2 linked regions of the Solanum lycopersicum genome follow. The protein of the gene in region 1 interacts with the protein of each later gene in a pairwise test. Links are inferred from orthologs where the notes say so. Each region holds a gene or a part of one and is shown on either strand. Other genes may lie near its edges.

Evidence for each region. The genes of interacting proteins can lie anywhere in the genome.
Region 2: the proteins of GWD (region 1) and mtDNA-binding protein WHIRLY2-like interact in binary tests that used the Arabidopsis thaliana proteins (3 or more experiments, as listed by UniProt). The link is inferred for Solanum lycopersicum from reciprocal best matches to the Arabidopsis thaliana genes SEX1 and ATWHY2.

What each region holds. Positions count from the first base shown.
Region 1 is NC_090804.1:305,260-309,471, reverse strand, and holds the start of GWD (glucan water dikinase), read left to right. Parts: upstream 1-1,402; coding exon 1,403-1,663; intron 1,664-2,322; coding exon 2,323-2,364; intron 2,365-2,481; coding exon 2,482-2,591; intron 2,592-2,687; coding exon 2,688-2,766; intron 2,767-2,860; coding exon 2,861-2,952; intron 2,953-3,033; coding exon 3,034-3,187; intron 3,188-4,212. UniProt on the Arabidopsis thaliana protein: Mediates the incorporation of phosphate into starch-like alpha-glucan, mostly at the C-6 position of glucose units. Acts as an overall regulator of starch mobilization.
Region 2 is NC_090810.1:38,043,458-38,047,445, reverse strand, and holds the start of mtDNA-binding protein WHIRLY2-like, read right to left. Parts: upstream 2,801-3,988; 5' UTR 2,589-2,800; coding exon 2,557-2,588; intron 1,729-2,556; coding exon 1,604-1,728; intron 1,520-1,603; coding exon of another isoform or gene 1,517-1,519; coding exon 1,419-1,516; intron 1,318-1,418; coding exon 1,225-1,317; intron 448-1,224; coding exon 353-447; intron 162-352; coding exon 88-161; intron 1-87. UniProt on the Arabidopsis thaliana protein: Single-stranded DNA-binding protein that associates with mitochondrial DNA and may play a role in the regulation of the gene expression machinery. Also seems to be required to prevent break-induced DNA rearrangements in the mitochondrial genome.

The DNA.
Region 1 (4,212 bases):
TTATTGAAACTGCTTCATCTTCATAAATTTATAAATGAGTACTATTACTTTCTCTCTTTTGATTTGATTCAAGGGTCAAAATGTCTTTTTCACTCTTATATATTATCGTGTGCTAAAATTTTGGGACACCACGACTTACTCTCATTTAATGTCTGCCTATAGATCTGTAAAATTGATAGGCCATTTCTTCCTTTAATTTTGTTTTTTCTTTCCACAATTCTATCTTTTTGTCTTGGGTACTGTTTATTGGAAAAGTTTTCTTATATACGTTCCTTAATATTCACGCACTTTTTTTTTTGAATAAGATCAAGTTCAACATTTATTGGATTATTATACCTTTTTAAAAAAAAAATATAATAATAATTACATAGCCTATCTTATTAGGTTCAACCATGGTATATATAGTTGTTTAGAAGCCACAAATAATACCTCAATTCCATTTACTAAAGATTTTGTTGGTGTCATTTATATAACAAATATTGTTTCTAGTCTCTCTCTTCAAATTTGTAATTATTTTATTTAATTTTTTCGTACTAGATAATATAAAAAAAATTTATGCACTAAGAATTAAGAAAATCAATCATTGAAAATTAATTCAATTAGCCAGAGCTAAGAATAGAAGTCTCGTAATTTTTAATTACTTGTTTAATTTTATTAATTATAAAATGATTTTTTCTTTTTGATTTGTGAAAAAGTTCGAAGAAAATATCAAAGAAAAAGAAGAGGTTATAATGAAATTTCGACAAAACTCCAAAAATAACCATTCAAATTGCTCTAGTACGCGGGGCCCACGCCGGCTCCATCTCCCGCAATTCCATAACCAATCCTTCACCACCATAACTCATCTCAAAACTCATTTTCCCTATAATATAATATAATATAATATAATATCATATCATATCATATCATATCATATCAAATACTTTTCCTTTACGTTATTTCACTACCACTTTCCACTCTCCAATCTAAGCTGAATTTGAGGTAAATTTCTACTCTACTTTGATCTGACAACTCCAACATTTTTTTTATCTGAAAATTTGTCTTTCGATCGAATTTGGTGTTGATTTTCATGGTTTAATGTATATAAACCCTAAGCTTAATTTTTCAAATTCAAGCTCGTCTAATTGCAGCATAGCATATTTCGTTTGGTCATTTTTCTATTCGACACAAAAAACTAAACAAAAGTGGGGAAAATGTGATTGATCACCGATATACATTTAATTAGTATATTTCTGTATTGCTTTGAAGGAATTCTGGATTTGGTTGATTCCTTTTTAAAACTCACAAAAAATTTTGTTGCACTTTACAACAAGAAAACTGAAAAAATACTCATTTGATTATTCATGAACGGTCCATTGCTTTTGTATTGATTGATTTTGTATTTTATTAGCAGTGTGAGAAGATGAGTAATTCCTTAGGGAATAACTTGCTGTACCAGGGATTCCTAACCTCAACTGTATTGGAACATAAAAGTAGAATCACTCCTCCTTGTGTTGGAGGCAATTCTTTATTTCAACAGCAAGTGATCTCGAAATCACCTTTATCAACTGAGTTTCGAGGTAACAGGTTAAGAGTGCAGAAAAACAAAAAAATACCAATGGGAAAGAAGCGTGCTTTTTCTACTTATCCTCATGCTCTACTTACCACTGATACCTCTTCTGAGGTAAATGCCCAACCTACCTATATGACAAGATGTGATTTTTATCTAGTTACAATTCAATCAGCTCCTCAACTGGATAATGTTTTCTCATTTATTAGTACATAGTTATCCCGTTTCTTGAATGTTTTGGTCATCATTTACTGCATATAGGCAGTTCTCTTCCTCTTTCCGATTTCGTCTGCTTGATTGCTTAGAAACCGGCTACTTAGCTTGGTTACACTCTGCATAAATGCGGATGATTCCTATAAGATAACTTGAACTTATCTTGTCCCTTTTTCGTTTCTCTTAATATTTCATTCTTGCATTATATTTGTTGCTGGAGTGGGACTCTCCTTGAAGATCTGTTGCTATGACAGATCCTTGTAAGTTCTAATATGAAATCATAATTGAGAATAGATGTCTAATTTTTCCTTTCAGTACTATCATATCCAATAAAAATAAAACTAGAGTTCGACATAGGAAACAAATACTGAATAGTTTATGTACTATGGGAATGTATAATGAGGTGAAAACAAAAGACAGATGTCATTTATTGGTAAATATGGAGCACAAGACTTGTAACTCAGAATCTTTCTCAAAAGGAAAAAAAAGACTCATAACTCAGCATCCATGACGCCGTGCAAATATCTTTCTAATATTACCTATTTTAAATGTTTTAACAGCTAGCAGAAAAGTTCAGTTTAGAAGGGAATATTGAGCTACAGGTACATATGTGGGACACTACCTTTGCAAAACTAATTTTTTATTAATGACTTTCTTGTAAAAGAGTCAGCCTATATGTCTTATGCTGGCCATACAAATTTTCTTCTGCACTATAACAGGTTGATGTTAGGCCTCCCACTTCAGATGATGCGTCCTTCGTGGATTTTCAAGTTACAAATGGTAGTGATAAACTGTTTTTGCACTGGGGGGCAGTAAAGTTCGGGAAAGAGTAAGTTTAATTACAAATTGAACTGTCATCATTTTGAGAGACTTAAGCTTGTGATGACTAATCATCCTTATATTATTCTCTATATGATTATCTTAGAACATGGTCTCTTCCTAATGATTGTCCGGATGGAACCAAAGTGTACAAGAACAAAGCACTTAGGACTCCATTTGTTAAAGTAAGTTGGAATTGGTTTTGCTGCTCTCATACATGAATGGATTAAGTTATGATGCAAAATTGATGATTTTTGGTTGTTGAAATTTTACTCTTAGTCCGGCTCTAACTCCATCCTGAGACTGGAGATACTGGACACTGCTATCGAAGCTATTGAGTTTCTCATATATGATGAAGCCCGAGATAAATGGTAAATGAGTATCTTTGTGAAGGAACAGCATAGCATTATGGTTAAAGAGCTGCATGGATTTCACCTCTGTTTCTTCTTCAGGATAAAGAATAATGGTGGTAATTTTCGTGTCAAATTATCAAGAAAAGAGATACGAGGTCCAGATGTTTCAGTTCCTGAGGAGCTTGTACAGATCCAATCATATTTGAGGTGGGAAAGGAAGGGAAAACAGAATTACACTCCTGAGAAAGAGAAGGCAAGTAACTTATTCCTTTAGTCCCACACCTTTCTGGGGAAGTCATACTGCAAGTTGTTGGTAGCTAACATCACTGAGTTGATCATTTCAAATTCTCAAGCCTTTATTTTCTATTGACCGAGCATTTTGACATTGGCATATGTTGTAATTCTCAACCCTAGTTCAGGATTTCTATGGAACTTAGCTTGTCAACTATATTTCTGTGCATTCCTATCCATGAACACAAACAACCATTTAATCTTTGTTGATGTTATTTGCATGCTTTCTCAGAATATATCAACTGGTTGTTTGGTTCATGGATAGGAAGCCATAGGTGATAGGACTATTATTGCTCCCTGTTGCAGATACTGTTACTAAGGAGTCAAGGCATTGCTTTCTGATTTGCATTTTGCCCATGCTAAATACGGTGGGGTTGGTTTTAGGGAAAATTTTGTACAAGACTAGTGGTGGCTCAAGTTTACCATAAAATTGTTGTTTTAATTTTAAAAATTCTAGTCTTAGAGTCAACAATTAGGCTTTAAATTTTAATCAAGTACAATCAGTAAGCCAACTTTGACATGAAATCAAGTCTAAAGTCTATGAATGAGTATGACCAGTTCTTTTTTTTTTGTTTTCTTTTTTTAAGGTAAGAAAGGCTAGATTATTATCCAGTGTGGATGCATATAATTACAGAATGTGTAGTTAGTCTGTTAATAGCCAGGAAGTAGGAACCAGTAAAATAAAACAAAAAGTCTGTATCATCTATATAAGTAAACTACACCATAAAGCAGCAAGTTGTAAAGTAGATTATCTCAAATTGTTTGATGAATTTCTCCCAACATAAAGATATCCAATGTTTCTCTTCGTCCAGGTGACCAAAAAATATGAAGAGGTCTCATATTCCATATACTGATGTTGCTTCTTTTTCTTCCCTCCATTTCCAATTGAACAAGAATAGTTTCAGAGATTTTGCCATCACCCAAGACCCAAAATAGGGTCAATGACATGTATTGAGTTGCTAGAGCACAAAGCTAATGCAACAATAA
Region 2 (3,988 bases), on another chromosome or scaffold:
CAGCTACCATTACAGAACAAATTGTGATGCATCTTGTGGGTTGGAAGCAAAATTTTAAAAAAGGTGAACATATAGACTGATACTTACTCAATGAAACGAAATAACCACTCCCATCAGCATTTGGCTTAATTGACAAACTCTTTCTAACTTGACCAGCATTACTGTAACATATAACCTCTGCTTAGTTATACAGTGATGAGAATAAAGAGAAACTAATAATCAGTAGGATGCAAGGATCATGTACTAAAAAAACGTGTGTGTGTGTGTGTGCACGCGCGCGTGTGTGTATGAGTGCCTGTAAACATGTACACTAAAAGATAGCCCTTAGCCAACAACTGCATCAGAAATCAACCTAGACAGCATTGAAGGATCATGAAAGAATTCAGAAGAATCTCTGGTCCCCATACTTATCAATGATCCAACCTCTGTTGCTGATAAAGCAAACAACTGCAATATGTTGAGTCATCTGTCAGTCAAATCGTACATCAGATATGTGAACATGTGCAAGAAAAGAAAGAGCAAGAGAGAGTGGTGAAACTAACATAGAGATGGATATTTATTTAACATCCAAATGGACACTTAAAAGAGAAAAATACTAATAACTCTAAAGAAAAACCAAGCAGCAAAATAACATAAACAAGAAATATACAAGCAATTTCTTCACCTAGTTATGAAAGACCACCTCTTAAGCATATTATAAACCTATAAGTTGGTGGCTCATGCTATGACCAAGTACTAAGCATCCAAACATGAACAATCAATCCTCTGTCAAAACTTGGGAATCTGCTCATTTACCATCAAAGAAGAACAAAAACTTAAAAGCCTTGAAGAGAAATAAAAGCTGGCATGAACTTCTTAAACAAGAAAATAATATCCTGCTGATCTTAATATCTGTCTATGTGTGCAAGTTCGGATTGATTTTGTTCAGCACTCATTATAAAGAATGGAAGTCTGTTGATTGGGAGGAACTATTGAGGATGAAAAGGAATAGCTGCTCATCTCCAGTCTTTGCAAGCTAGGCACCAGTGGATGTTACTTGCCACAGTTTCCCTCTTCTTTTATCTCATAAATGTAGAAAAATTTAGCTGTAACACTTGCGAGAATCCCTCAAAATAGTGATGCGAAGAGCTTTTCTGGGACAAATAAAGATCTAAAACTCGTTTCCTACTATGCTGGTGGAACTCAATAATAAGAGAGAACCATATAAGGCTATAAGCACATTACCTGCCTCTTTTCCCAGTCATATTTGCGCTCACCAACGGATGGCCAGAATGTCAACATAATGACACCTCGACGATTGAGTTTAACACCTCCAGACTGTAATAAGAAGAATGGATGAGTGGAAGCATCATTTCAACATCATAAAGAGAGGCAACTCCAGTTTCTAATTCTATTTAAAAAGATAATAAAGACCGTACATCCAGTCTATTAAATGTGGGCAGCCTAGGTTCAGCAGAAAGTGCTGCTTTGCCTTTAAATACTGAGTAGGGAGCAAACACTCGACCTTCCCGTTTTCCTGCTATCAAGAAATATGACAAAAAGATTATTATAGCATCAAGATTACAACTGAGACTTCACGAACATCTGAAAATAAAATGCATACCATCAGCCACAACATCCTGTCGAACAGTAGAAAAGGCTGCAAAAGTGTTGATGGCATTCTGCCAGATAGAACCTTTGACATCCTCTCCAGACAATTTTTTATGCAACAACTGATTCCTAATGTGTCTAGAGAAAAACATCATATTAAGAAGGTTCTTTTTCAAAAATTATCAACTTCACTTTAAAAAAATTCTATTCACACTCTGCATGACAAGCAGTAATTCTTTTTTCCCTACATTGTAAACAGTATTATGGAGTATCCAGCATCAAGAAGTAATAGTTGAAAATGACATCCCGGATTTTCTTGGTGAATGAGCAACAGATGAAAAGGTGTGTGTAATGTCCTCACCATGCATTTTACACAGTGAGCATTGCTACAAATATGGACCTATTTTTCTCTGTGTCTCCATATAACATAACATATGAATGAGGTCTTAATAGATTCAATAGTAATTTAAGCATGATCAACTTCCTTCAATTTATATGGGGTGTGTTCGGTTGTTCAAAATTTTCGGAAAAAAATATTTTTCTATGAATACAAGTACCTTAAAAATAATGAAAACAACTTCACCAGTAAAAATAGAAAAAACCACTTGTGCAAGTCACCATAAACCCCCATACCCACCCAACATTCACCTCCGATAGTATTTATCAAGATACTATTTTTTGAAGATAAATAAGAAAAGCCACAAATTTTCCATGTAAAACATTCGATATATCCTATTTTTAGAGTCATCGGCTTTTAAGTTATATTTAGCATCTATTCGTTTCATTAATCAGTATTCATTTCGCATCTATACAGATCCAACAGTAGAGAGAGAGATTCAAGTTTGAGCTTGGTAACTTACACTGTTATACATATGTAAAGAAAAGCTAGGGTTTAAGCAGGGGTTTAGAGAAAAACTTTTACTATTTTCGTGACAAAAGGGAAGAGATGGGGTTTAAGCAGAGAACCTGGGGTGCAGAAGCCGACTGACTTTCAACATCGTCGCAGTAAGGAGGGAGAGAGGCCTTCAAAGTTCAAATTGCTGCTTATTTCTTCTTCCTCGGACAAAATTTCTACTATGTGCTCTCAATTCAATTTATTTGGTTCATTTTACTTGGCGCTCCAACCATAAATTACTACTTGCTAGTAATAATATTTTATTTGAATTTTGAAATATAAAAATTAACATATAAATTGAGATATAAGAGCATTATTTAGGGTACACTTGGCAGGTACGTAATTATATATTGATATGAAATTATATGAGATAAAATTGGAGTTATGTTTGAATATCTAATTTGTTGAGCAGTTTTGCTGTTCAATATCATTAGTAACTATGTTATCATGTTCATATTTTGGGAATGTTTCATCACTCTTTTGTTACTCTTGCAAAAGATTATGTTGATATAAAATTCTGATTTTTTTTAGTTTTTAGCTAAAAACATTCTTAAACTATACCATCAACTTAACTATATCCTCAAATTATAATTTCACACCATCTTCACCTTACAAAGTCAAATGGACATTAGATCAATAATTTTTTGGTGGCAAACTCATAGTTGAGATAATCAAGATTCAGCTAATTTTGATCTCTAGTACTCGAGTTTTGTTTTTCATTATTAGAGGTAAAAGTCTCCAATCGACATCAATTTTTGCAGATTCAATGAGAAGAAAACATTTCAACGAATAGTGTTTTGATATTAAAACAAATGAAAAGTAAAAAAAAAATTGTTAATCAAAACGAAGATAATGCAAAACGTTGCTGCTAAAAAAATTCACAATATTTTATTATAGATGCATGTAGAATGAACAAAATTGGTTTGTTGAGGATGATTTAAGGATTTTTGTTGAGAGTAGTGTAAATTGAGGGATGTTCTTTGTGAAGTTGGGAATATAGTTTAAGGATGTTTTGATTAAAAACTCTGAGTTTTTTTCTTACAAAATATAAACTTGAAAATGTCAAATAATGATATGAAATTTTCAAATCAATCTTTTTGGAGAATTTGAAATTTCATCTCATGATTTCAAATAACAAGATGAAGTTACACGATCAAACGCCTACTTACGAAATAAACATTATTAATTATGCTTTATAAATTGTAACGACCTCTCATATCATTATGGGTAAACCAATAGTGAAGAATTTGGGTAAGAAAACTTTTGGAGTAGTGACTTGAATATTCCAGGTTAGGCTATCTCAGATGGAATATGAGTGGGGTAAAGTCTAGGACAATCCAAGAAAGGATTGAGTAAATTTTTTAAGTGTGGATTAGTTTTTTCATTATCTAAGATGTTAAGGAGTTCGTAGGGCTTTTCGATAGTGAATTCGAGTACGTAGAACTCCCGATATCATATTTGGCGTGAAGGGGGTAGTTTATAATATCAAAGTTCAAAGGTGTG